Diceros bicornis minor: one gene and its partners. The protein of the gene in region 4 interacts with the protein of the main gene of each other region in a pairwise test. Links are inferred from orthologs where the notes say so. Each region holds a gene or a part of one and is shown on either strand. Other genes may lie near its edges. The genes, in order: PSMA1, MFAP1, KANSL1 and CEP70.

The links.
Region 1: the proteins of CEP70 (region 4) and PSMA1 interact in binary tests that used the Homo sapiens proteins (3 or more experiments, as listed by UniProt). The two-hybrid records come from large-scale screens. The link is inferred for Diceros bicornis minor from reciprocal best matches to the Homo sapiens genes CEP70 and PSMA1.
Region 2: the proteins of CEP70 (region 4) and MFAP1 interact in binary tests that used the Homo sapiens proteins (3 or more experiments, as listed by UniProt). The two-hybrid records come from large-scale screens. The link is inferred for Diceros bicornis minor from reciprocal best matches to the Homo sapiens genes CEP70 and MFAP1.
Region 3: the proteins of CEP70 (region 4) and KANSL1 interact in binary tests that used the Homo sapiens proteins (3 or more experiments, as listed by UniProt). The two-hybrid records come from large-scale screens. The link is inferred for Diceros bicornis minor from reciprocal best matches to the Homo sapiens genes CEP70 and KANSL1.

Annotation. Positions count from the first base shown.
Region 1 is NC_080746.1:72,487,351-72,494,525, reverse strand, and holds the start of PSMA1 (proteasome subunit alpha type-1), read left to right. Parts: upstream 1-4,158; 5' UTR 4,159-4,238; coding exon 4,239-4,241; intron 4,242-5,534; coding exon 5,535-5,579; intron 5,580-5,850; coding exon 5,851-5,952; intron 5,953-6,072; coding exon 6,073-6,176; intron 6,177-7,175. UniProt on the Homo sapiens protein: Component of the 20S core proteasome complex involved in the proteolytic degradation of most intracellular proteins. This complex plays numerous essential roles within the cell by associating with different regulatory particles.
Region 2 is NC_080744.1:41,112,236-41,119,309, reverse strand, and holds the start of MFAP1 (microfibrillar-associated protein 1), read left to right. Parts: upstream 1-4,067; 5' UTR 4,068-4,187; coding exon 4,188-4,266; intron 4,267-7,074. Other genes in the region: WDR76 (WD repeat-containing protein 76), read right to left, coding at 970-1,380, 2,023-2,082. UniProt on the Homo sapiens protein: Involved in pre-mRNA splicing as a component of the spliceosome.
Region 3 is NC_080757.1:44,760,567-44,767,877, forward strand, and holds the start of KANSL1 (KAT8 regulatory NSL complex subunit 1), read right to left. Parts: upstream 3,008-7,311; 5' UTR 1,942-3,007; intron 1-1,941. UniProt on the Homo sapiens protein: Non-catalytic component of the NSL histone acetyltransferase complex, a multiprotein complex that mediates histone H4 acetylation at 'Lys-5'- and 'Lys-8' (H4K5ac and H4K8ac) at transcription start sites and promotes transcription initiation.
Region 4 is NC_080741.1:14,631,562-14,639,192, reverse strand, and holds the start of CEP70 (centrosomal protein of 70 kDa), read right to left. Parts: upstream 3,020-7,631; 5' UTR 2,947-3,019; intron 2,692-2,946; exon of another isoform or gene 2,529-2,691; intron 2,412-2,528; exon of another isoform or gene 2,183-2,411; intron 1-2,182. Other genes in the region: FAIM (fas apoptotic inhibitory molecule 1), read left to right, coding at 6,251-6,417.

The DNA of each region.
Region 1 (7,175 bases), on a different chromosome or scaffold from region 4:
GTAAAGCACCAACTATTCCCACATTCCACAGTAAAGTGGAAGACCACCAAAAGAAGAAATTGAATGAGGGGGGGTGCTGCTTTTGCAACTCAACTGTCTACCCACTTTTAAGTCAGAAAAAAATTGAAGATTTTGAGAGGGTTTTTGGTGTGGTATGTGTTGACATTGCTTTTTCCTCTCCTAAGGCCTAGGGAGAGGCTTTAATGGAACTTTGATAAATGACTTCTAGAGTTGGGGGTGGGTGTCGGTGGGGGGGTCATAGAGGATTAGCGTCTGGCTCATATCTGAGGAAATCATTCATTCAATCCTTATGTAGCTCTTATTAAGTACAGGCACTATTCTAGGCACAGGTGACTACAGCAGTAAACAAAATAAATGAAAAGCTCCTGCTTTCATGGAGCTAACATTCTAGTGAAACGTAGGCAGCAAGAAATTTTGACTGACTAACTGGAAAGATAAGTTTTAGATTTGGCCCAAGTCTACACTCCCAGAGGCGTGAGGCAAAGCCACTCTGTGGGTGTTTCTTTGGATTAGATACGGGCCACTGAAGGCAATCAAGTGGAAGCATGAGGAGATCTGCGGAGAACGAAGCTGGAGGTGTATACCACAGATGTTAGCAACTGACATTGAGCTAAAGGCCAGATGACATGTGTTTACCCAAGTGCAAGTGAGAGATTGCCAGTATTTGCTCATGGGGGTAAGGTGAGGATGGAGGTGTTTCCAAAGAATACATAAAGTAACAAGGGTCAAGTGTAAACACCTGCTAAGCTCAGAGAGCATCAACTCTTAATCACAGAACTGTACTAGCCAAGTTAAGAACACTCTTGCTCTTTCCTCTGTTTCAACTAGGGAGAAGTAAGGCAACCCAGCTGGTAGTTGTGGTGAGAGGGGGCGTTAGGGGAGAAATTTTAGGCAAGTACGTAGAGAGGAAGTCAAGCATTCCCCTTTTGCCGTGGTAGCAGGGTCAAGCTGGGGGAGGGAAGGGGCTTTGCCCCTAAAGTTTTTATTATTATATTGAACTTATTAATTACTGATCTGAGGCTGTTGAATTGACTAGTTAACTTTTTTTTTACTTGAATGTCAGAAGAGTCATGATATTTGTGCCATATTTCATCCAAGGATCAGGGAAAAATTAACTCCACAGGGTTTGTTTTAACTTGTGTTGGGAAAAGAGTGTTATTTGCAATCACACCCTACTCATTTGTTCAACACTCCAAACACAGTTGCTAAACAGAGTAACACAATGAGATTTACATGTCCACGGGAAAAAATTTTCAACTTGCCTTTTATTTAGAATTTATTTTTATTTGATTCTAAAAAAGTCTGATATAACTTACCAATGACCTTTAAATTAAAGAAGTAGTGCTACATTTGCTGACCCAGTCTTCCTAAAAAATATGTTTATTGATCAATTTTTCAGCTCCTGGTTAAGGACCAAAATGTATCCTGAGCCAAATTCCCAAAACATGAATAGAGGAGCTGAAAGTCATCTAAAATCTTTAGTAAGTGCTTAGGATCTTCCCTTTTGACAAAAAGGCCAAAAATGTCCCTTCTGATGGTTTACAAGAGGAGCTTTGAAAAGAGCCATTCTGAAGAGGCTAGCCAATCACTGTGAATGAAGGATATATCCCAAAGCCCCAGATATGTGCTTAGGAGATAATAATCAAAAGGACAGGTTTTAGAGTGAGAGATGCATCATTCTTTCATTCATTCATTCATTCAACCAATGTTTAGTGAGTGCCTACTATAATGTCAGGCTTTGTTCCAGGCACTAGGAATACTTCAGTAAATAAAAGTTGAAATTTCCTATCCTTGGATGTTTATGTGATTTTCTGTTACATAGTTACAATATCCCCACCCCCACCCCTCCACTTTTACTTGAGCTAGCTTCAGTGGGTTTATTTTCTTTGTATCCAACAGGCTCTTTCTATAAAAGTAACACAGTAATAAGAGGTTAACATCCCTAATGGCAGGGAGTTCCTACAAATCAGTGAGAAAATGATTAACACAATCATAAATTGAGAAAAGGAATGAAGTGGCAATTCACTAAAGTAACATAAACAGCCAAAACATATCTGAAAAGATTTTTTTACTAGTAATCAAAAAATACAAATAAAATTAAAGCAAGAGGTTTTTTCTCTTCCTGCCTATCAACTTGATAAAGGTAAAAAGTACTTTTACTATCCAGTATTGGTGAAGGTATAATGTGGACTCTCAGGCACTGTAGAAAATAAATTGATATAACTTTTTTTTTGCAATTTAGCCATATTTATCATAATTGTAAATTTGGGTTCCCTTTGAACATCAATTCTATTTCTATGAATTCATCATAAGGAGGTAATCAGGAAAGCATACAACATGTGTGCATGTACAAGAATATTCATTATAGTACTTTTATAACAGCAAAAACTTGGAAATAATCTAATTGCTCACCCATTGCTAAGTAAATTATTGTATTTCTACACAATGGAATACTAGGCAACTATTGAAAATAATACAGATCATTACTTATGGACATGAAAAGGTGGCCATAACCTTTTAAGTCTAGTATAAAACAGTCTAGTATGATTTTATTTGTAAAAAGAGTTATATATTTATTATACACAATGTGTGAGGCATTTGAATATATAGAGATATGTAGAAAAGAATGTTTACTATATAATCATTTTTAAAGGATCATTTATTAATCATTCATTCAACATTCATTCATTTAATAGTATTTATTAAGCACTTAATATGTGCTAGGCATTGCGCTAGGTGCTAGGAAACAAAAGAGAACAATCTGTTAATTTAAATCTGTTCATTTAATCCACTAAATTAACAGTGATTTTGAAAAATGACAACAACCAGTATTGGTGAATTTAGGGAGAAGAGCACTCTCATATACTACTGTTGAGAGTATAAATTGGTAAAACATTTCTGGAGGGCAATTTAGCACTTTTTATAAAAGCCTTAGAAATATCCATTTCATTTGACCCTAAAATTCTATGTTTAGGAGTTTATTCTAAAGAAAGGAGTATAGATGTACACAAAAAAATATATCAAGCAGGGATGGGGGAACCTAAATATTAAACAATAGGGATTTGGTTAAATAAAATATCATATGTTCATAACGCAGAATACTAGGGAGTCATGTTTAACCTGGAAAATGTTTAACATGAAAAAATGTCCAAAATATATAACCGAAAAGGTTTAAAAAGAGTGAGATACTAAAGTGCTCGGAACTTGAGCAAATCACTTAAGTGATCTGGGTCTCTTATTTCATCTGCAAAACTTAGATCTTTAAGGACGCTTTCAACTCTTACCTTTCCGGCGTCTAGTTACTCATCCTTTCTTCTTTGTAAAGAAAATAAGTCATTGGCAGTAGGTAGATATTAGGTGGGCAGCTGTTTGCAGAGTGTCCTAAACTATTTCATTTGGGACTTACTAAAAGACACTCTCAAAAGAGAAAATGCGTGTTTCAGAAGAAAATGTCAACTTTTTTCCTTAGTAGCCTAGTATATCAGGCATCGTGCTTGGTTTTGAGGGCACAGAAAGACATTAGTGCCCTCAAAGAGTTAAGTCTGGTGGGGGGAAACCAATAATAGCGATAAACAGTGATCAACGACAGCAAAGCCCTGAAAGATGAGTTCTCCAGGGAGTGGGTGAAAGGATTTCAAAGTAGAAAGAAAAGCATGTGCACAAACAAGATACTCAAGGAAGGGTATGGCTGACACACAGAAACGGTCCATTATTTTGTAGCTTTTCTTGCGGTCTCCTTCTTCTCACAGACACACAACACGCCAAATCTCTGTGGACGCCGAATGAGAGGGTGAGCGGCCAGTCCGTCACCCAGAGTCGCAGCTGTCGTCTCGAGCGATTTCAGGCGGATCCGGCTGAGTCGGTGAAAACTGGCGGGAATCTGCAACACACGGGTAATTTCTCCGAGGATCCAAAAGGGTGACTTGATAGTGGCCGCTCCGCAGCTCTTAGCCCTAGCGGGCACTCCTGGTCCAAGCTTTCCCGCCAATATCAGTTCCTCCATCTTCCGGGGCCCCGCCCACTATCGAGACGGCCGAGAACTTGGAGGGCGGGGGAGCACTGAAAGCCTATCGATATTTCTGGAATAGACTGCTCTGGCCTGCGCCGCCGCCGTCAAAATCCCGCAGACTTCTCAGTAGATCGCCGAGCGGTAGTTTCGGCGGTGCTCCTCGATCCGCAGCTTTGCAGGAGGTGGCAGTCAGGCCCGCGCCGGAGCCATGGTGCGTCGGATTCCGAGCCCAGGCAGGGTTGGGGCAGAGGTCCGCTGACTGGGGGATGGCGAGCCGTCTCTCCTGTCATTCTTAGAGCGGCCCGGGGCCACGGGGCATGGGAACCTCAGCCGACGGGAGGGTTCCGGCAGTGATTCAGCATCTCTGGCCTGGCCGGGAGAGGGGCGGTCGGTAGTCGGTGCGGCCTTTCCCCGGGCTTGTTTCCCTTTCCACCGGGCCTCGGACACCACGTTCTTGGTGTACTAGCGGAGTTCGTTCCTTCAGTGGAGTACGTTCTGAGCGGTCCAGAGTGACCCCTCGTGCTCAGTGTGGGAGAGAGGGGAGAAAATGGGGACTTGACTTAAGAGGCCTCCCTGTACTGCCAAGTGCGGACCCAGGGGTTGGGTTCCTGGACCGCGTCCATTTACCTGGTGGGCTTGTCTGATATCTCTCTCCTCCAGAGCTCGATCAGAAAAGGCCGTTTTCAGTCACTTTGTCCAGTCACCTGGTTTTACAGATGAGTAAACCGAGGCTGAGAAAAGTAATGGAATGAGGATTACAGTCTAGGGCTCAGGGCTTCCTGTCCTATGTCTACCTTTCCAGCACCTCAGCTTTCTCATCCCCATGGTCATTCTCCCAAGTACTGTGCTGGAGACTTGTTTTAATGTGGTCACTAAAGCAGTAACGGTTCTGTCTTATAGTATTTGTGTCCACCTCTAACTTCCTGAGGATATTCTTGTGTTTATTCATTCAATATGAATGTTTATACAAGGCACTGTTTTAAGTGCAGTGAGGGTTCAAAGATAAATCAGACATGTCCCTAATCATAATATACGGTAAAAAGGAACATGTAGATAAAGAACTGGTGGGAGTATGCGTTGGATTTTGGGAGAAAAGATGGAGAAGACTTAAAGAGATAGATATTTGAGCTAGTTTAAGGAAAGAGAATGCTTTTGACCATTTATTAGGGCCCAGTCTAAAGGAAAAGCATAAGCAAAGAACGGAAGGACAGTTGATGCAAATGAACTTCAGTAACTGCACCCAAAAGGAGTGCTGTGAACACTGGTAGAATTGGCAGTGGGAAGATAGGTGCCATTTAGATCTGCCCCCCACCATTAGCTCATGGTAAATGTAGCATTGGCTTGCAACTGAGTGCAGTAGTAATCTTCAGTGAGGTTGCATTAACAGCTTTGCATTAATATTGAGTGGAAACAGATGGGAGACCATTTTTTAATGATAGAGCTTGCTAAGATTTGGAATTTGTAATGCTCTTGTATTAATGGGTCTTTTTTCTTTTACTTTCAGTTTCGCAACCAGTATGACAACGATGTCACTGTTTGGAGCCCTCAGGTAAAATAATGTTTTATACTACTTCTATGAAGTAGCTTTTGGTAGCTGCAGTGTGTTTATAAATTCATGACATTGTAGGTTGGGAGAAAATGAAATATAACTGTTTTAGACATTCCTGGAACCTAAATTTATCATTAAAGTAAGTTTCCTACTTAAAAAAAAAATCATTTGAGATTTAACTATGCTCACCTGAGATTTGGGAACTCTAACTTTAAATATATAAAAGCGTCTTATAAGATGACTCTAAGATGTGTGGTTTTTTTCTCTTTAGGGCAGGATTCATCAAATTGAATATGCAATGGAAGCTGTCAAACAGGGTTCAGCCACAGTTGGTCTGAAATCGAAAACTCATGCAGTGTTGGTTGCATTGAAGGTAAGTAAAGCAATAAATATATCTTCCTCCTTTAGAAAACAGAACTATCAAATGTAAGTTTCACTGTATAGATAATAAAATTGTAAACTTGTTTTTGTGTTTTATGACATCTCTATTTAGAGAGCACAGTCAGAGCTTGCAGCTCATCAGAAAAAAATTCTCCATGTTGACAACCATATTGGTATCTCAATTGCGGGACTTACTGCTGATGCTAGACTGCTGTGGTGAGTATGATCATGAAAAACAAAAGAAATACCCTTTTTGATTCGTAATTGATTACATTTCTTGAAAAGATCCAGATAAGATATTTTAGGAAGCTGACTGCCAGAGTGTTTGTAAGTTAAGCTTGTGAATACGTTAGTGGATTTGGGGACAGTTACTAAGTATTCCATTTCTTGATCCCTGTCGTAACTAATAGAATTGACTGTATTAATATTAAAGCTTTTAGGAAGTCACTGAATAATACTTGTTAACTCACTATATATTGTTTGAGACAATGTTATGTCTAAGAAGAGCTTGACATTTTTGTCTGGTTTCTAAGGATCAGCCGAACTACCTTTGCGTTCTTTAATATGCCAGTATTTATTAGACATTTATTTTTCATAAAGCACAGTACTAGATACTGCAGGATATACAAAGGTGAATCAGACATAGATCTTGTCTTCTAGGAACTCAAAATCTAGTAGCGTATCTATAATACAAAGTAGAAAGTGGAGAGTAACAGGTAGATTTCTGTGAGAGGCCAGAGGAGATAGAGATTATTTCTGGTTGAGAGGCGGTGTATAAATGAAGAACTGGGGCTTTGAAATCATGCAGATTGAGTTTAGTTCCCACTTTCACCACTTAGTATCTGAGATTGGGCTAGTTACTTAAACTCTCAATTTTTCTAGTATTTTTCTGTTTCAAGGTCATTGTTAAATAGCCTAACACATAGAGCACTTAACATAGTGCCTTTCAGGTAATATATGAGTGTGTGTGTTGGGAAGTGGGAGGTCATTTGCCAAAATTAATCTCTTAAAGTCTGTGATTTCATTAGGGAAGAAAGAATATAAACACTAAGGACAAGTAGTAAAGCTAATGTTTAAGATTTTCAAGTTATCTAGCAAGCCTCCTGCTGTCTTAGGTCAGCAATATAGTGACAGCATTATCGGTTTCTGTCAGCTCTTGAAAATGTAAAATATGTTGCATTGTCAAACGTTTTATTTAACCCAGTTTCTCTAAAA
Region 2 (7,074 bases), on a different chromosome or scaffold from region 4:
ACTTCTGAATCAGAAAGTCTGGTGGTGGAGCCCTGCAATGGAGTTTTAACAAGCCCTCCAGGTAATTCTAATACAAGCTAAAGTTTGAGAACCACTGATCTTATCCAATTCCCTCACCGTAGAGGTGACTAGCTTAAAGGCACAAGGTTTCTTAGAAGTGGCCATGCCTAAAACCTAGGCTTCCAATGCATTTATGACTTACCACACACTGTGCCACCACAGGTGCTAATCCTTACCTCTGGGACAATAAAGCATAAACTGAATTCCTATTTCATAATACCACCACCTCAATTATCCTATCTCCCTTTCCCTACCATCATTTTCTGTTCCCCTAGTTCCATCAACCTTTTTGTCATGTGGTAGGGTTTTATCTTGTCTTGCATAAAATTTGTCACTTTAAATGAAGTACAACACTCCTGGTAGGCAATCGAAGCCAAAGGAGTTAGATGCCTAATTCCCTAAACTGATTCTATTATTTTAAACAGAACTAATAAGTGTTTCTCGTGTATCTTCTCTACTCCATCATTTGTCTCCTTTTTGTATTTAATGGAAATATTATTCAGCACATCAATGCAATCAATTAATGATGATTTTCCTACCCTGACATCAAGGGTCACTCAAATGCCATATGTCCCACAGGCCAACTTCTGGTATATTGTGCATAAATACGTAAAGGTAAGCAAGATACCATAAAGTATGCGTAAACTCAAAAATATATGCAATAAACCAAGAGGAAGAAAAAGGGAAGCAGAGTGAAAATTAAGTTAATCCTTTCCTTGACAAATCAAAACCAAGAGCAAAATTAACTCAACAAAGTTATCTGTTAAACATTTAAAAAATTTTTCAATTAAACATAAATTAGATAAAACAATCTGCTTGAGCTAGAGAGACCTCTGATAACCTTCACTTACCAGAACTTCAAATTTTAAACTAAGAAAAATTTGAATAAGCTGGTATTTAAATTCTTACCAGGCCTGGTGTGGTATCTTCATCACTGTCTCCATCCTGACTGCTTTCCATATCAACACTGAGAATCACTGTATCTGAAGTGCTCTTGTGTCCTTGCTTGTTACTTTCAGTATGAACATCTAAGGATGATTTTTGCAGAGTGGATTCTGCCTTGGAAGATGTGGCTTCCATCTTTGGAGTTAAAATTCTTCTGCAAGTTTTCTTTATTTCAATCTTCTTACATTTCTTACACGCCACTTCATTGTTAGAATTCTTATCTAAGAGGGATTTGGGGCACTTAAGTTGGTCTGGTTTGTAATTACTGAGTGAAAAGGGGACAAGACACACCTTAGCTGTTTTTCCTAAAACTGTAGTCTGTACTGGCCTTGGAGATACAAAATCAATGTTTTGGTTTTCTTTATATTCATTCACCTGTTCAGGTCAATAAAGGAAAATGGAGAGTGTTAGAATCCCAGATCCTATGTCTTTTCTTACAGATCTGTGTAAATAAATCTCATTCCTATTTCATAATAACAACATAAATCCAAACTGATAGCCTGTAAGGAAACTTTTTTCCTCCAAAACCTAGATACTTAATTCATTAACCTGAATAGAATTATTTATTATACTGGGCACATTTCTTGCCCATATGAGTCTGCCAGACCAATAATAATAATGACTACAATTTGTATCTAAGGTGACTCTACCCCAACTGTCAGCTTCTGAGTAAATGGAATTGTTTCAAGAGTAGGAAGCTGACACTAACTGCTGCAAAAGCAAATGCAGAGTCCCTGATCCCATCCTGCCACTATTTCTGGGGTTACTGACAAGAACCTTCCTCAATGCCGCAGCCTACTCTCACAGAGGAAACCAGGGCAGGGATCCCCGCTTATCTTTTGAAGCAACACCCCGAAAAACTCTTTAAGCTGAGGGATGCCCCAAGCGGCGGGAAATCGTTTTGGAGTGAGGAGGTGCCGGGTGCCAAGTCCTGGTGCCCTCCCGGGCCTGTGCCCGGAAGATCCCTCTCGAAGACTGAGTCAGGAGCACACCCGAAAGCGACAAGCCCTTTCTCACCTTCACCTGGAGTCGCTGTCTGGAGCCAGCCTTCTCAGCCACCGCGCGCGACCCGGACATCTTTCCGCCGCTTAACAGCTGGCGTCTTCCCGCCAAGATTGCGGCGGGAGGCGGGGGTGGGAGGGAGTGGGAGGGGCGGAGCCCGGGCGGCGCCGGCGGGCGCTCAGATCCCAGCTGGCCGGGGGGGAGGGGCGACACGGGCGTTACCGTCGTCCCTTAAGGAGCCAAGCCTACCAGCCTCACCCCCAACTCAAATTCTTGAGGGACGCGATGGGACCGAATCGACATTTTTACCTTGGATGCCGGTGATTTTGATGTTGCTGACGCCAGTATCTCACTTTGAAAAACACTGGCGCTTCTGCTGAGGATAAGCCACCTTGCCTTACAACGTGAGGCTGGAAAAGATTCAGACGCACTTAGATGCCGGATAGAGAGCAAAGGAAATCGCAATCAACATGCAGCCCTTACCTCGGCCCCCTGGTTCCTTATACCACCACCAGGAAATTAGGCCCCATGGCTACCACATTATCTTATTCCTAGGAAGGGAAGTTTTTTTTAGTTTTTTTTCAAGAGCTGATAACTTAAGCTAGTTTAAATTTCACCTGATCATCTGTCCACCAGTTAACTAAGATCCTAATGAGGACCTTACAAAGCCCAAAGGCTAGGGAAAAGTTGTGAATCAAATAATTTTTGTATCACAAAGTAACATAAGATTTTAGTGCACTGTATTTCTTATAGTCGCAGCGATATTAAATTTTTTTTTCTATTCTCTGGGTTGCTGTGAGCCAAAACAATTGCCTTCCCATCACACTCCCTCTGGACAGCATAGTTTTGGAGCTGATAAATTCATAATATAAATTTCTATCTACTTTATTTTTAAGGTCCTTTTCTTTCTAGCCCAAAACTGCTCCCTTGGTTGGTTATCTGAGTCCTCCACTGTTCCTTTTATTTCTTCTGCCAGCCTAGGCTCAAGTTGAGAACACAAGTGAAATAATTTGAGAACTAATCCTATTAACAGCACCTTCAAGGCCCTACTTGATCTGGTACCTGCCAAACTTTCACCACTCCTTGACTCAAAAATTACTGATAAAATCACACTTTTCATGGTGTCTGATATATACGCTATTTCTGGACTTCAAGACTTTGCTCATGCTGTCCCTTCCCTCCCAACCATAGCAGTTTTAAAATCCCTTCTACAGTGAAATGTGTTCTGACTTCTAATTAGCCAATTTTTTTTATATAACCGAGCTAGTAATTGCGATTGCTTCTATTATGATTCTATAAGCCCTTGAAGACTTCCTAAATTAAATTAAAGCTTCTTGAGGATACGAGCCTTTTAACAATATTCGTTACTGCTTACAGAGAGCTAAGCACAGTTAACACAGCAAGTACTTAATAATTACTCAAAGACTTATATACAAACACTTCCCAGCCAGGAATATATTTTAAAAGGTGGTCTCCAGAAGCGGAAAGAACCAGAAAGCCTAAAAGTAGAATGTTCGGATTTCAGGCGTTGACTCAGGCCCCCTGGGGGATTTTTTTTCTTTCTTTCTTTCTTTCTTTCTTTTTTGCCACTGGCCTAAATCACCGCGACCTGCCCTCGCGTGACCAAAAAGTACCGCACCAAAACCCACTCAGCCTCATCAGCTAAATTAATCAGACACTATTAGCAGGATTTCTATTCCGATTAAACTCTAATTCTGAGCTTTCTACAGTCTGGACAAACTGCCCTTCACTATCTCCTCAGTGTCTTATTCATCACTATCCCATTTTCCTCGGCTTCAAACCAAGCTAACAAGCGAAACCTTTCATTCGGACCTTCCTCGCCGCAGGGTCTTAACCGCAAAGCCCAACCGAAGCAATTTCCCGCCACAACCGACGTCCAAATATGTACTTCCAGACTGAGGACGCTAGGGCAGCCTATGAACATGCGCAGTAACAGACTCGGTGTTCTAGCGGTAGTCGCCCAGAGGTCCTCCACAATCCCACAATCCTCTGGTCGCATATTTCCGGTTTTTCTAGCCCAGCCGTAAGTGGCGTTTCTATCAGTCCCGCAGCCGTGTCTAGCGGCTCTAGGCTGGGAGGTGTTTTCTGTTCGTTGACGTTGAAGCTGTTCGCTGTTTGGAATCAGTAAAGTTTCGGGAGTCACCGCTGCTGTCGTCAACATGTCGGTCCCAAGCGCACTCATGAAACAACCGCCCATTCAGTCTACGGCTGGGGCCGTCCCGGTTCGCAATGAGAAAGGTACTGTGCTGAGCCGTTTTCCAGTCGGGTCTTGCCTCTTCCTTCCTCAGCGTACTCCAAACCTACCCCGGGCCGACCACCCCAACCCCACCGACCCTTAAGACCCTGCCCCCTATTTCTTCGACTTTCCCCGTCACACTCGCACCCGATCACGTTGCCTAGGGTAAAGAAAACCCACTTCCATCTCATCTTGTTCCTATAGCCTGTCTGCCCTCACCTACAGCAAGCACCTATCTTCCCTTGGCCTCCACCAATTCGTTAGACTAACATATATAGTGAATGCCTGTTGTTTGCAGGGATTTGTGCGGGATACAGTCCCTCTTTTTTTTTATCCATAGCAGTCTGTTTATGCTGCTTTTATAACTCATCGTTATAATTATTTATGTATCTGTCTCTCGTACATCATAAGCTCATAACCTCCTTGAGGCAGGAACTATGTCTTATTAAACTTTTTATCCCTGTCAGCCAAGGCAGTGACTGTATTTATTAAATTGAATACAAAGTTGTGTAGGACAGTCCCCCTAACCTTAAGGAACTCGTATTCTAATAGATGTGAGACATGCAAAAAGAGGCACATTCTAAACAGTGTACAGTCTTTCACACCTGTAATACCTGTCACTAGGTGATATAAACCAAATACTGTGGGAGGGCAGAGGAGGAATAATCTCTTCAGATTGGGGTAATCAAGGAAAGCTTGAAAGAAAGGTGGCATTTAAGTTGATCCTTAAAGGACAGATAGGATTCCAATGAGTGCAGATGGAAGAAGGAACACCGTTTCTGTTTGAGGAGTCAGAATAAAGAGTCAGGATTTTTTCATTAAGGGTTTTGGAAAATAATAACAGTTCTTACTTTTGTGTTTTTTGAATATACTGAACCCATCCTTGTGCAGCTTGCCTTTTTTTTTTCTTTTAACTCAGCATGGCGTTTGAGAAGTATCCTTTGGATACATATGGATCCAGTTCATTCAGTTTAATTGCTTATAAATTCCATTGTATAATTAAACCACAGTTTATTCCCTACTGAGGGACAGTTGTGTTGTTTTTTCTCCTATTACAAACATGCTGCAATTGTCATTCTTAAATGTGTCTCTTTAGTGCACTTGTATAAGAATTTCTCTAGGGTAGACTCCTAGAAGTTCATCTTCAATTTGTTGCCAGTTGCTCTCCACAGTGGATTGTAAGAGCATTAGGAGTTTTTATTTCTCCATGTGTTTATCCACACCCTTGGTTATATCAGATTTTTTAATTTTTGCCCAGTCTAATGAGTGTGTAACGATATCTCATTATTTTAATTTACATTTCCCTGATTTCTAGTGGGACTAGGCATCTTGTTCGTGCGTTTATCCACTCTCTGGGTTTTCTCTTCTATGAATTACCTGTTTCTGTCATTTACCTGTTTTCTATTTGTTTCGTTTTTTTTTTTTTTTTTTTTTTTTTTTTTTTGTGAGGAGATCAGCCCTGAGCTAACATCCGCCAATTCTCCTCTTTTTTTTTGCTGAGGAAGACGGCCCTGGGCTAACATCTGTGCCTATCTTCCTCCACTTTATATGGGACGCCGCCACAGCATGGCTTACCAAGCAGTGCGTCGGTGCGCGCCCGGGATCCGAACCAGCGAACCCCGGGCCGCCGCAGCGGAGCGCGCGCACTTAACCGCTTGCGCCACCGGGCCGGCCCCTTTGTTTCGTTTTTATACATCCTAAATCTGTAATATCTATTTCCCCAGGTTTTTTGGCTTGTTTTTTAACTTTAGTTATGGAGTCTTCTGTTACACAGGCATTTTTAGTTTAGTGTTATCACATTTATCAATTTTATCTTTTATGGTGTGTGCTGTTTTGTATACTGTTTAAGAAGTCCTTCCCTACACTGAGATCATAGACATTCAGTTTTCTATCGTCTGAATGTTTGTATATACTAAGTAGGATTGAATACACAATTGTGCAAGACAGACTAAGTTAAGGAGCTTACAGTCCAGTAGGGATGTAAATGTTTAAGATAGGTTTTTCACACTTCAGCCTTTAATCTATCTGGAATTTTTTGTGTGTATGGTGTCAGTTAGAGATCTAATTTTACCTTATTATCTTAGAGTTAGCCAGTTGTTCCTACTACTCCATTGTTTGACTAGCCTATCCATTCTCCATTGCTTTTTTTTTTTTTAAGATTTTATTTATTTCTTTATTTTCCCCCCAAAGCCCCAGTAGATAGTTGTATGTCGTAGCTGCACATCCTTCTAGTTGCTGTATGTGGGACGCGGCCTCAGCATGGCCAGAGAAGCGGTGTGTCGCTGCGCACCCGGGATCCGAACCCGGGCCGCCAGCAGCGGAGCGTGCGCACTTAACCGCTAAGCCACCAGGCCGGCCCTCCATTGCTTTTTAATGTCACTTCTGTAATATAGCAAGTTCTCATATAGGTTGTTTCTCTGGTCTCTACTTTGTTCCATTGGTCTCTATGTACCCCGAGTCAATGACATATTGTTTTAATTCCTGTGAATTTAAATAAGCCTTGCAATCTGATACAAAAACCCTCCCCCCCACCTCACATTCTTATTCTTTTTTTTGTTACAACTTTATTTTTTTAGAGCAGTTTTAGGTTCACAGCAAAATCGAAGGGAAGGTACAGAGATTTCCCATATACTCCCTACCCCCATACATGCATAGCCTCCCCTATTATCAACATCCCCCACCAGAGTGATACATTTGTTACAATTAATGAACCTACATTAACACATCATAATCACCCAAAGTCCATAGATTACATTAAGAATCACTCTTGGTGGTGTACATTCTGTGGGTTTGGACAAATATATAATGAC
Region 3 (7,311 bases), on a different chromosome or scaffold from region 4:
TAATGCCTGATAGAACTAGAGTTCATTCTGAAATAAGATAATCAGAAACAAAGAGTAAGAACTAGAAAATGAACATTTTGGCTCCAAAGTATACATTTTAATTAGCCTACCATTTTTTTTACTTAAAAATAAGTAGCTATAAACTGAAAATACATCTCAGAAAGATTTTAAGGACATTCACAACTGAAAAAGAGAAGAAAGCTCTCCCCCTTTTTTCACCCTGTAAATTCTACGCTATCCTCTTCTCTCAAAAAAGTGCCTTTTTTCCTGCCCAGATCAAACACTACAGTTTTTAAGTTTTTTTAAGGAATAAAAGGAGGAGGAAAATGTCAGCAAATAAAAAAATTGTTTAGACTCAGAAGAGGTCTTCCACTGATCAAAGGATTGGTAGGGAACATAAAATTAAGGCAGCCACACAACTACATTGTTAAGTAGTTAACAGGTAGCAACTCACAGAGTATGGAGTACTGACTTCCATTCTGTATTTCTGCCTTGCCAGAGGCCTTTGGTACAACTTCAGGAGTTACTGTGGAACTATATTATAATACCCTAGGTTCAGAGACTGAGAGGAAAAATCTTAAACATCATTTCATCTTAAAAAGCAGGCCTCTATGTACCTAATACATTAATTAAAACCAAGGAAACTGTAAAATAAAATCCAATATATTGATCCCAAATTCCTTGGGTTTATAGGGAACTAGTACCCACTGATATCCTCTTGACTGCTTCCTAAAGAGAACAGAGGCCACCAGGTCCTGGTGCTAAACACTGATACCAAAGAAAAATAGTTTCGTGCAAGCTTCTCCAATTCCTATGAGTTCAGGACTTCTGGCTGGGTTCCCCCACGCAACCCCTCCAACTCTACAGGGAGAATGGCTTCCCTTATACTAATATAAGCACCCATCACCCAACAATAGCAGCTAGAACATAAATGAAGATGAGAACTCAGTCTGCATTTACCTAAAGATTTCCCACAGTCCAAATATTTAAGTGACACAGACTGCATTATTGTCTGATTTATTCACTACATTAATCTGGAATTCCACAGGGCAGATTAACACACAACAATCTTAACTACACTAGTATCTAGCTCCAAAGAAAGGCAACACATGTCACCTGGTGAAGCTGGTGGAGGACTCCATCACTCCTTATCTGTCTCTCTCCATCCTTCCTCCTACTTTCCTCCCTACACGTCTTAGGCTTTGCCCTCTGCTTAGTCCTATTGGAGAATCCTTTGGCCATCTATATAAAAGAGATTGGAAGGAGCCAAGAGCCTGGAGAACCACCACATCAATGAGAGCTTTCTCATCTAAAGATCATCTGTCCACACTGCCCAGAAGAGGTTTACTCTGTGAGATTAAACTTGGCACAAAGTGCTCTCTGTTGAGAAAAATAGTGTAAATTCTCAGGCAAAGGACTAGGGAGCAGCAGAACTCTCCAAAAGAGCTGTACATGTAAACCAACAGATCTTAGAATGTTCTAATATACTATATGAAGTTTCAGAGTAAACAAATGGTTAATGACACATCTTTTGTAACACATGAATCAGCTACAGATTTGCAAGAGTGGGACACACCCTAGTACCTATGACTGTTTCAAAAGTGGACCTGGATGTCTGAATTGCCAATCCATCCCACTGAGATTGGAACAGAATTGTACAACTAGGCAGGATGTCACAATTTAAAGTTAAAAAATAAACACATCATGATAATGAAGTTAATTTGAGAACTTCATTAATATTTTAAGACCAATAATCAATAGTAGCAATACAAAGTAAGGAATAGCCAATCAGTCCTAGGAAGCAAACACAATAGTAGTTTTCCAGGGGAAAAGAGTGTGGGTGAGAGGGTTGAAGGACTGCAAATTTAAGAACGAGAATATTCTCATTTCTAAAGGAAAAGAAATAAAATGAGGCCTTTAATTTAAAAAAACACATCTTACCTTAAGAGGCATCCAAATAGCATTCATAGTGTCAGGAATAGTTCAGACAATACTCAGAAATGAGCAAGAAGGGAGTTGTAGTAATCCCTCAGTGACGAAGTAGGAGCAGGTAGAAAAATTTTTTGTTTCAAGAAGGTATCTGAAAGAGAGGACTTGCATTTAGACTAAAAAATAATCAAGAATAAGCAAACAATTTAAGCTATCTAGACATAGATTTGAAGTACTACTTCCTTCACCATCCTAAAAAGATGTACAAAACAGTCCCCTTTGGGAAAGGGCAAGTGTGTGTATCTCCATATATATGTAGAAATATATTTTACATAAAAAGTGGATTAAATGTGTAACACATACTTTAGATAATACAAAATTGCTTATCAAATAATTAGAAAACCATTATCCCAGATAGAAAAATGATTATCCAGCGTACTTCATAAACACGATTGAAAAGTCATTTGTTAACTGACCTTTTAAGAAAGACCCTTGTCATGTTTAATTTTTATTTAATAAATTAAAACCGCTCTGATCATTCCAATTGTCCTAAATTTTATTAAGCTTGTTTCAGAGTCGAATTCTACGTGAAAAATAAAATCTATTCTTAAGTGCTAGTAGCAAATAAAAGACAGAGATCTTTAAAAGCAGAACAAACAACTTAATTTTGAGGATGGGAGGAAGGCAAGTTTGCCTGCAGGTAGGAGGATGGCTTAAATGACCTCTTGTAGGATCCTTGTTCAAGTCCTCGGCCTGAATGAAAATTCCAGCTTAACCAGTTACTGCATCGCTTAAAATGGAGGCTTGCCCGAGTAGGGACAAAAATAACAGCACCCACCTCTGAAAAATAAATTTCGAAAAATCGAAGACTACAGTACCCTCATTTTTAAGAAAAATTAAAAATAAAAACCTCTGGAGTGGATTTGTTCTTGCTATGCGTTTGTCACTTCGGCTACGAAGACTTGGCATCACTTTCCTTACCGGTCGTCAGATTTTTTTTTTTTTTGCAGGGGGGGTGGGGTGGTTTGACTCTTGACCCCAGTCTCAGGAGGGTTTAACAGCCCCTCCATGATCCCCACCGCGAAAGCCAAGAGAAGAGAAAGGAGAGAGCCCGAGTTCCCACCCCTCCCCCCACCGTGGACCCTAGTCCCAAACCTACCCCCCCCTTCCCTCAGAGGGGCGCCTCCTTCTGCCCCATGCCCATTGTTAGGGCGGGGGCGCGGGGGGAGTGGGCTCAGGGCAGGGGCGCCTGAGGCCGTGGCCCCGGCTCGCTTCAGGAGGGGCGGCCCGCAGGATGCAGCTTCCCTTCCTCTCGGCGTCGGTCCGTCCCACCTCGGCTCGGCCTGGCGCCCCGGACTCTGCTCGGCGCCCCCGGCCCGGGGCCCAGCCCAGCCCGCCCCCCGGGCACCAGGCCCCTGGCCCCTCGGCCGGCAGCCCGCGGCCCAGGCCTGCGGGTGGGCGCGGAGCGGGGGTCCCCGTGCCCCACACACGCGTCCGCTCCCCCAGTCCAGCCGCTTCCAGGGCCCTCGGCGGCGCCCGCTCCCCGGGCCCTTCGGCACCCCGCCTCCCGGCCGGGCCGCCCCCTCGGGCTCCCGCAGTCGAGGCCGCCTCCCCTTCCCCGCCATCACCCCTACCGACTCGTGCCCCTACCCCCAGGGGCACCAGTGCCAACGGCTGCTCCCCCGGCCCCGGACCTACCTGCACGGCTCAACCAAGCCTAGAAGTGGGGGCGGGGAATCTTCCGCCCTCCTCTGTCTCTCATTGGCCCTTCCGGGGCACATCGTGAGCGCCATTGGCTGATGGCAGATGTCCGTCAGAGCGGTGGGGCGGGACAGAAGGGGGAGAGGGATGCTGGTGCCTCGGCGTCTCTGTCTCTGTATATCTCGCTGTCTCTGCCTCTGTCTCGGCTCTTGGGAACGAGAGACATTTGGACGAGAGAACTGGAAGGGGCCTGGAGGTGGGAGGGATAGAAATAGGAATCCTGGTAGACCTTCCCACCAATCTGCCACTCCGAACCCCCTACCTAAGTCCCCTTTAGATCCTCTTCTCCATCACCCCCAACCCCGGCCCCTCAGCCCTGTAGGTTCTTCATCCAGGAAGCGACGTGATGAAAACTCGAGCCGGAAGGCCATAGGGGGAGATTTTATATATGTATATAAAATATACACACACAAATACTTATGTATGAAGTCAACCAGATATAAGGTCATGAGGGCCTGGAAAGGAAAGGGTACACATCTCACAGACAGGGAAAGACTTTGAGATATAGCCAATATAAGAAGGAATCAAAAATCCCTCTAAGAGCTGGCAACAGTGGTTTCCTCCTGGGTGAGGAGCTGAGTGTCTAGGGGACCAGGTGGGAGGAAGACTTACATTTCACTGCATATCCTTTTGTGTCTTTTGATTTTTGTACCATTCACAAAGATTCCAATTTCTTTTAATTAATTGATTTAAATTTTAAAATAATTCTAAGGCCGCAAAACCAGGGGGACAGACAAGACGGTTGTCCAGGCAAAGTGAGACAACATGCAGATTTGGGGAGGAATCTTAGCTTTTAATATGTTCAGTTCCAGAAGCCAGTGGTAAAACCAAGAAGAGATGTGCCGGCAGCAGCTGGAGTTGGGGACCTTGGGAGAGGGCGAGCCATCTGGACTAGGGAAGGTTTAGGGTTCTGCACCTAAGTATGGTGATCCATGACGTGCTAAAAAATAAACTCCCCATAGACGTGTAAAGAGACACCCACAGTTAAAGGCAGAAGGATGAAAAGAAACGGAAAAGGGTCAGTGAGGTAAGAAAAACAGAATATTGAAGAGGCACGAAAGTTCAGGGAGAAAAGGTCTCTGGAAAAATAGAATAATAAAATTATGAGAGCCTCACCATCTTGAGGCTCACTTCAGGGGCCCTGTTTAGGCTCATTAAATAAGAACGAAAGCCAACAAAATACCCATAAAGCAGAGTTCTTAACTTTTTCGCACCACAAACCCTTTTGGCAGTCCATTAAAGTATGTGGACTCCTTCTCAGAATGTTTTCAAACACATACAAAGGAATTCAAAGGAAACCAATTACATTAAAATACAATTTTCAGAGGCTGGCCTGCTGGCGCAAGCGGCTAAGTGCGCGCTCTGCTGCGTTGGCCTGGGCTTCGCCGGTTTGGATCCCTGATGCTCACAGACGCACCGCTTGTCCAGCCATGCTGTGGCAGCGTCCCATATAAAGCAAAGGAAGATGGACATGGATGTTAGCCCAGGGCCAGTCTTCCTCAGCAAAAAGAGGAGGATTGGCAGGTGTTAGCTCAGGGCCGATCTTCCTCACCAAAAAAAATATATATACAATTTTCAAAATATTTTTTCAAGTGTGATGTAATAATATATGTGCTTTATATTGATGTATTAAATAGTATGATATAATGGCAGGCCTAATGACCACCAAAATTTGGGGAAGTAAATGAGCATAGATAATATATGTTGAAGATAAGATATCTTCAACAACTATCATATAATAGGAAAGTACATATGATTTCTATTGGTGACAAAACCGCAGACACTGCTAATACTACTTGATTTGTTGTCTCCATCCGTAATTGAAGGAAACACTAATTTTCTGTTAGACTTTAGCAAAAATAAAGGCATATTACTTTTCCTGATCCAAGTTCATAGATTTCGTAATCTGTGGGCCACAGGTTAAGAAACCTTACCTAAAAAAATCATCCTTCCCGCCCTCCACACACCCACACCGGGATGTGACCCTGCCCTTCACCCCTTATCTCTGTCTCTCTCTTCCTCTTCCACACTTGCTAGGAGCACTCTCTGGTTCCCAGTCCCCCCCTGCAGATGCCTGATGCCCCCCGTGACACAAAGAACAGGGATTATGAATGAGGGTTGGAAGAAAGATAAATACATCTTGTCTATATTCAAAAAAGAAGAGAGAAAGCTATGAGGTATATTACAGAGAAGATGGGGAAAAGGAGCCCAGGATGGAGTATCATTCATTCCCAAAAAGGAAAAAAAAATTATAAAAAGAAAACATCTGGGCTGGCCCCGTGGCTTAGCAGTTAAGTGCGCGCACTCTGCTGCTGGCGGCCTGGGTTCCATCCCAGGCGCGCACCAACGCACCGCTTCTCCGGCCATGCTGAGGCCGCGTCCCACATACAGCAACTAGAAGGATGTGCAGCTATGACACACAACTATCTACTGGGGCTTTGGGCGAAAAAATAAATAAATAAAATTACAAAAAAAAAAAAGAAAACATCTTTATCAGTTAAGAAAAAATCTTTTCTCTGAGTTATTAATTTTGCTTAAATCAGCCCTAGAAAACACCTTCAATCCAGCTCCTGATTTCATATATCTGTAAAATGGTGCAAAAAATAGTACCTATCTCCTAGGGTCTTTGTGAGGATTAAATTGTTAATACATAGAGTGGATTTGAAACAGTGCCTGACAGAGTCTAAACATTCAGTTTTTAACTATCATTATTATTATATTTGGCATCTTATATTCCAGGGCATTCCATGAAAATTCCTGGTATGATTATTTGTATTAATGACATATATAACAGCAAATTAAGAGCAATAAGAAAGTTAACCCAGAACACTTATTTTTCATTTAAATCCTTCAAAATTAGAATACTCCACTTTTTCCAGTCACATTTTCATTCCTCTAGGGGGAAAGAACATCAGTGCCTCTTTAAAGGGATTGTAAACTCAGAAAAAAATTTTGGCTACTTATATTACAAAGGGCTAATTTCCATAATACTGTACATAAAGACCTCCTACAAATCAATAAATAAAAACCAGCAATTCTCGTACAAGGCTAATGGCAGTGTAAACTGGTACAGCCACTTTGGAAAAGACTTTGATATAATCTAATAAAATTTAAGATATGCATGCTCTATTTCAGCAGTCTCATTATTAGATATATATTATAAGAAAATGCAGAGTTTTAAGTGTCAGGATTACTGTACAAGAATATTCATACGAGCATTGTTCCTCATTACCCCAGATTGGAAACATCCCAAATGTCTACCAAGGATAAAATGGTTAAATTGTGTTATATTTGTACAATGAAAATTAATAAACTATGGTTATATTCAGGAACATGAATAAATTTTTACAAAGGGATATTATTGAAGACCCACAAAAAAACAAGATACAAAGAGTATATATAGTATGATTCCATTTATAGAAAGTTCAAAAGCAGGCAAAACTAAACGACATTGCTTAGAGATGCATAGATAGGTGGTAAAATTATAAGGAAGAGGAAGTGAACACAATAAAAGTCAGGAGAGCCAGTATGTGGCCAAGGGAGTTTCATCTGATTGGGAGTGGGGATTGTTCTCAGGGGCTGGCAATGTTCTACTTTTTGATCAGGTGCTGGGCATATAAG
Region 4 (7,631 bases):
GTAACTTCTTCCTTTTATTTTGATTTCTATTCATGCTGTTTAAAAAGCAAGTTCAGAATATCAGTTAACCCATTAACAGTTCCCTTTTCAAACGGAGGCCCAACGAAAACACGGACTAATGTGAATGAAAGCATTTTTAGCTGTTCTCTTAAAATAAAACACTGATGTCTATGGGTAAGTCGGTGAGAGGCAGTTTCAGAGGTTAGAACAGCATCTAGGGTACTTGCCAGGAAACAAGGAAACAATCTGACTGAAAATAAAGTCAAAAGCAGGATCAGGGGCAGCCCAGTGGTGTACTCTGCTTTGGCGGCCCAGAGTTGGTGGGTTCAGATACTGGGAGGCAGACCTCACACCCCTCATCAAGTCATGCTGTGGTGGTGTCCCACATACAAGATAGAGGAAGATTGGCACAGATGTTAGCTTAGGGACAATCTTCCTCACACACACACAAAAAAGCAGGATCAGCCTGGAAGAGTATGTTTTATACTCAAGTTTCACAGTGCTTTTTTCAGAATTTCTTTCTTTCCATAACAATCCTGTCTAGTAACAAGTGACTATTCCTGTCTCCAGTGTCCTAGGCCCAGGGAATGAGCAGGTGGACAATATAGCCCAAACTAGCATGTTCCTTAACTTCAGGTACCCCAGAAACTATACCCAAAGAGGAAATAGTGGCACAGAACAAGCCAGCTGAGGAATCAGACTGCCTTGCCTATTCTGGGTGCAGAATAGGCACCGAGGGGTAGGGTGAACTCCACTGCACTCTGGGGTCCCTGGGCAGAGGGATTCCCCAGGTCTCAAAGACAGGGCCCAGATTTTTCTTCAAGCACAATTAATACTTTTCTAATAATAGGCCCTGTTACCATGAACTTTTCAAATGCCACAGGCCCGCTTCCACATGCTAGCCCTGCAACTTCTGAAGGGCTCTGGGTCTCTCTGTAAAATGGGTGTAAATATTATCACTGGGCTCTAGTGAGCACCACAGGCCATCATATATAAGGCACATAGCAAGCATTCAACAAATTACACCTTATTGGTCTTGTAAAAGATATCCCGACTCCTGAAGTTTTGTAAGAAAATATGATTCTTCATTGAACAATATCTTTGAGCTGCCGCCCAACCAGGGTTTCCTGGTCCTAGCCCAACAACTCAGGATTGTTTTTCTGAAGAAATAAGGACTAGGAAAAAGGAATTAGGGAGGTGTCTTCAGCTAGCCTTGTCCTATCTCTGGAAATTTCCACTCTGGGGCCTTTTACTTTTCCCCTCTAATTCATTCTTTCAACAAGTATTTATTGAAAACTCTCTGTTCAAGACACCAGTGCAGAAGAAAAAAACAAATATGAAAAGTCTTCATCTTTGGGGAGCTTTCAATACAGGGTAGCAAACAAGAAATCAGGGCTCACTAAGCAGAATTCCTGTAACATAACTTGCTGAAGAATTCAGTCATTATTACTTTGCAGACTAACCAGTCTAACAACCTAATCAATAGATTGTTCCCTGTTATCTCTCAACTCTCCCTTCTCTCACACACTTGCTCAGCATCTAGAAACCACACCCACCCTACCGATTGCCAAGGTGAAATAATCCTTCTTTACCTCAACATCAAGCTGCAGGAAGCAACTGCACAATAGGGCCTGGATGCCCCTATGCCCCCAGATCCCCTGGGCCCTCAGAACCCCTCCAGAATCCCTTCACATGTCTCTGTTTTGTTGCTCGGCCCACTCTCCACGGGGACCACTCCCTCTTTCCTCAGATGGCCCACTCAACAACCTTCCTCCCTCTGTGCAGGGGACACTGTCCTTCATTCAATAATTTATCAGAGCCTCCTATGAGCCGGCACTGTGCAGACGTGGGAGATGGAAGAGAGGGAGCCAAGCGGCCACGGTGCCTGCCTTCACATACCTCAGTCTACTATTAAGTTACACATTAATCAAAAGTTACACGAATGATTGCACACCCTGAAAGGAACTAAGAGAATTCCAGGCGCTGCAAGTCTGAGGGGCCGGGATAGTTTTCCTTAAGAAATATTTCAGGAACAATCTCGACAACAAAAATGGAGGGTAACTAAGGGAAGAGGCAGGGAGGCGTGTCCAGGCAGAGGGAAGAGCACTTGCAGAGGCCCTGGGGTGAGAAGGAGCTCGCACCATGTGAGGATCTAAATGAAGCCGGCTGGGCAGGGGCTGCATCGTACACGGGGCCTCACGCCCACAAGGAGCTTTGGTCTCTAAACTAAAGGAGTAACCAGAAGCCATCAACAGGTTGCAAGCAGCGAATGCCGGATCAGGTTTGCCTGCTCCGAGGCTTCAGAGCAGGCCCGGGGGCTGTGTCTGCCCACCTGGTGTCCCCAGCGTCCCGCCCAGCGCCGGCGCTCGGCTGGTTCCTAGGGACGTCTGCCGGCAGGACGCCAGGACGCGGTGCGGGACTATGTTTCCGGGGTGGGGGTGGGGTGAGGCCGGGCCTCCGCGGAGGCAGCGGGCGGGGCTGGCGCGGCCGAGTGGCGAGGCGGCAGCGGCGGCGGCGGCCTGCGCCGGGCACCGCCGGGGCCCGGGAGCGCGACAAAGAGCCGGCGCGCTGGGCTGTAGCTTGCGCGGAGCGGCTGCCGCTCTCGGCGAGGGGAGCAAGGCCCCGCGGCCTACGGCGCCGAGTCTGCCCCTGCATTGCGGGGCCGGAGCCGCCCGCGGCCGCGGCGTGCAGGTGAGACCGCCCCCGGGGGGCGCGGGGGGCGCCCCTGGCAGCCCCCGCGCGCGGCCTGGGCGGCCTTCTCCGGGCGGCGGGGTGTGCGCGGCCCCGGGACCCTGCGGTGAGGCCCGCGCCCGCGCCCGCGCCGGCCGAGTTCCCGCGGCTCCCGTCGGCCGGCCGCGGGCGGGGGCAGCGGGGCGCCCCTCCCCGGCCAGGCCTTGCGACCGGCCGCCCCGGCCTCGGCCTCGTGCCCAACCATACGATTAGTACCTGTCGCTGTGGAAAAGCGGCGCAGAAAAGCCCGGGAAGGAAGCCCGGGAGCCGACCCCCTGCTCCCCGGAGACACCGGGTTACACTGCGCTGCGTTTCTTTCCAGCCCCTTTTTCCCTGTCAGCGTGAGCAGGCTATTTTTGCAGAACTTGGATTATAAAGTGCTGTAACTTGGCTTCTTTCTCTTACTAATCCAGCACGTGCATCTGCCCGCGGCTGTAAGTGTTCCAAGTCGTTTTTGGTGGCCGCGCTAGACTGCGGGCTTGTGTGCCCGCCTGACCGCCGCACCCTGCCGGCGCCGGCCCGGGCCGGGCGTTCAGTTTGTTGAGTGAAGGACTGTGATTTACTTAACGGAGTCCCTCCTTGATGGTGAACATAAAGGTGGTTTTCAGTTTTTAGCTTTTACAAAAAGCAATTCCATTGAGCACTGTTCCTTCTGCTGTTGGGGGCATGATTATTTGTTTAGAGTTAATCCCTCATAAAGCTTGTGCTATAGGTTGCAAAATGGTCCTCAGAAGAGTTTTTCTCGTTTTTGTACCTCCACTAGCGTTTGGGAATACCTGGCTCTAGGAGCTTCCTGACCGACTTTGCTGGAGGTCCCAGTGCTTCACGGGGGACCGGGCGTGCAGTGTCAGCACCCGTTTGTTGAAGGGGGACCTACCTGTGGCTGGCCTTACCGGGAGCTTTGCTGAAAAGGGAACTGTGAGCTTGTTAGTAATTTTAAAAACTGACTTGCGTTCAGCTTGGACAAACCACTGCAGTCCCCAGTACGGTTAAACCTAAGTTAAGGCAACATTCAAGCTGGGGTTAGATGAACAGTGGAAACGTGTTAATGTTTAAGTCGCACTCTGAAATATGGGTGTTGAGTTGCTAGGGAAGGGATTTTAAAAGATTATGGTGATGGGTACCTCACTAGATACTCAAAAAGCTTTCTTTGAAGACATGTAAGAAGTTTCAGATGAGTGACATTGTCCCCGTCAATCAAAATAAATGGAATTTGTTTTCCATCCTTTTCATTTACATTTTTAAAACTTTGTGCTAAAATAGAGGGAAGTTTTCTTTGTCCCTGTTTTCCAGTTTGGTCGCATGATCTTGAACGTTAAGTGTATGTATAGGAGTTTAAAAATGACAGTGGATTAATTCCTTTCTCCCAAGTTTTAAACCGAAGCTTTCCCTGGCCTTGCCACACATTTGGCAGGGCTAGGGTCCTTGCTCTATGGGCCACTCTGTCCTCTACTGCTCCCCTTTACAAGGACACCGCCATGGCTGTGCTGTAATTATCTTTTGGTCTCTCCAGAGTCCCTCACTCTGAGCTTAGTGCCCAGCTCAATGCCTGGCACAGAAGTGACCAATAACTTAGCGTGCTCGATGACCTCAGAATATGACATGTTTATTAAGTCCAGTTTGTAACTTGGATATCTGTGTGTGACAGATATTTCCCGTTTACATGAGTAAAGTAGAAATCGGGGGACAAGGACAGATGTGATCACCTCTTCGTTATAGGTGTAAGTACATTCTAAGAAACACAACCAGCGGGGCAACTAGGTCTTTTTTTTTTTTTAAGCAACTTTGTTGAGGTATAATTCACATACCATACAATTTACCTATTTAAAGCATGAAATTCTTTTTTTAAAGCATGAAACGTTTTTTGTATATTACAGTATGAATTTTTTAAGCTGTGCTAAAACATATATAACATAAAACTGCCATTTTAACCATTTTTAAGTGTACAGTTCGTTGGCATTAAGTACATTCAGAATGTTGTGCAACCATCACCACTGTCTATTTCCAAAACGTTTTTAACACCTGACGTGGATACTCCATAAATAAATGTTGGATGTATGAATGAATGTTGATAGTTTAGAGAAAATTAAAAAAAAAGAGATGTGATCTTGATTTCTAACTCCCTTCTAATTTGTTGTGTTGTCTTTTACACTTCCATATGAAAAGTTATAGTAATTAAGACGCTACCATGCCTTATCTTAATGTGATTTAGTAATATTTGAAGTTCCTTATAATGGAAAACGGGGCAATTCTTTCAAGTTTGAATGCTGCATTACTGAACTTTCTAGAATCTCTAAAAGTTGTAGAGCAAAATTTGAATAATATCCCTAAGTCCACTCTGATTTACAAAGGATGCCTTATCCAAGTTTATATTATGCTGTTTGGCTTGCTCTTTTGCTCTGTTTTCTCTTTGCTTTCACAGTTGCAGGATACCCTCCACCTTCATAGAAGATATCCTAGGGCTTCTTAAGACTAGAAAAATCCACACATTTGTAAGGTGCTAGTAAAAAAAGAGGGATTTATTTTAGGTACAAAGTGTTTTGAATCTTTACCTAGTTTTTATTCTAAAATTCTTAGCTTTTCTTTGCCCACTGGGTTGCTTTCATGGGTGCTAATCTGTTCATCTTTTTAAAAACCGTTTGTGGCTTCTAGCTGTTTCCAGTTTAAGAAAGTTGGCAATCTCTCCTTTTTAACAAGGCGAGAACACCCTTGGGCATCTAGAGGGAGAAGGCTAGAGTAGATCTTGTGAGCAAAAAACGGTTGAGCTTATTTTCCAATAGGTTTGGCAGGGGTACACCTGTTAATCCCAAATCTTCAAATGTGGAGAGTTTCCTAAGCATCTGAGTACATGTGTGCTTCTGATTTTAGTAAAATTTAATTAGCACTACAGCCCAGTTACTGTTTAATTAATTGCACAGGAGTCCTGGGCTCTAGTTCTGGCTTGGGCCCTGCTAGTGACCTAAGCAAACCACGTAACTTCTGTGGATTCCTTACTGGCACTAGTAAATTAAGTGGGCTTGAGTAGGTGGGTAAATTAAGCTTGCTCTTAGAAAGCAAACTAGCATATCCTTGGCTGCTTCCTACAAAATCAACATTTCTTTGAAGTAAAAAAATTTTTTAAATTATATATTCCTCCATAATATAGCCTTCCGAAATTTAGAATAAAGATTGCATTTTAAATTTGTTACCACCCTGTAACGTTGGTTCCTCCAGAAAATGCATTCTGTTTATCCTGGAGTTTTATGTATTCCCTGACCCACTGCCTCATACCCTTGGGGTTTCTTGTGCCTCAATTTGAGAAGCATGGGACCCAGAGGACTTGTCTCTTATGGCTCTGGTGTGGTGTAATACTTGAAATGAACTAGAGTTTATTCTCTAGTTTTGGGAAATTATAAATCCAAACTAGGGAAAAATATGATTGGCCAATTTGTATGATTTAACTTCTCTCCCTGAAAATTAGAGATTGCAATTCTGTTGTATGTAAAAGCTGTTTCATCAGAAACTACATGCAATTTACGAAATGGATTGCAACGTTAGAACAACCCTTTGCAGATGTCATCTTTGTTGCTCTCTTCTTTCTTTGCTGCAATTCTGCTTTTTTCTTTCCTGGCTGCTAATTGGATTAAAGACTATTTTGCCAACCATGGCATCTGGAGATGACAGTCCAATCTTTGAAGATGACGAAAGGTAAATGTCTTGCATTGCAATAAAACTAGCTTTTGAAACTTTCAGGATTGTTTTCATCGTTCAGAAGAGTTATTTATCCAGGCTGCTTTTTTAAGGACACATTTTGTAAGATTGCAGAATGCATGGTTTTGCTTTTCTGTGGTTTAGAACACTGTGTGGGAAATGCCTGGCGTGGAGGTGGCCACCACTAACGTGGCATCCTTTCCCACAGGACCTGGGTGTAAGGTCTCCAAATCCCTCTCAGCACAGAGTTCTTGGAAATCGCTTCAGAATGATATAAAATCCATTTACCATCTCTGATTTAGAGCAAACAAAGGAGATTAGAGTGAATGAAGAGTAGGAGTTAGTTGAGAGAACAGACTCTGGAGCCGGCGTCCTAGGTTTAACTCCCGTCTGCCACTTACTTGACACTGTAACCTTAGACAAGCCCTTAGCCGCTCTGAGCCTCAGTTTCCTCATTTATAAAATAGGGATAATAATAGTACCCATCTCATGGTGAGGATTCTATGAGTTAATATGTGTAAAGCTCTTGGAACAGTGACTGGCACACAGTAACCTCTTAATAGCTGTTAGCCATGATCATTATTGCTGTAATGCTACTTATCTCAACATATTAATTATGTATTATATATAAATATATGTTATATATAAACATATGTAGTTATATGTTTTATATAAAAATAGTAACATCAAAAATATGTGTTTAAGTTGTGCCAGAAACTTCTGACAACACAGAATCTTTTATTTTTTTAATACGATTTCCTATAGTAATGACAAGAATTACTGTTCTCCATAACATTTTTATCTCTATTATAGGATGTGTCTTCCATGACTTCTCTTTTTCTCAGTGTTAGTATAACAAATGAGAACGCTTTTTGTTAAAATGAATCCCTAGTCACTGGTTTAAGTGTGCAAGGTTTGGGGAGTTCTTGTTTTGGAGGGACTGGATCTGAAAAAGAAAAGCCAAAATTAAATACTGTGCTTTTTAAATGGAGGGAGGGAGAAGTACAGCCTTTTTATTGACCTTTCCAAGCGTTATTCTCTAGCCTAGCTTAGAATACTGTTGTGGGTAAACCGATAGATTCTTAATCCTATTAATATTAAGGTGACTTTGTTTGGAATGATCCAACTGTGCACCCATAGGGAGAAGATAGTTTCATGAACTGTGAGGACGGTTTCTTAGATAATATCACTTTAATATTTTGTAATTTTAG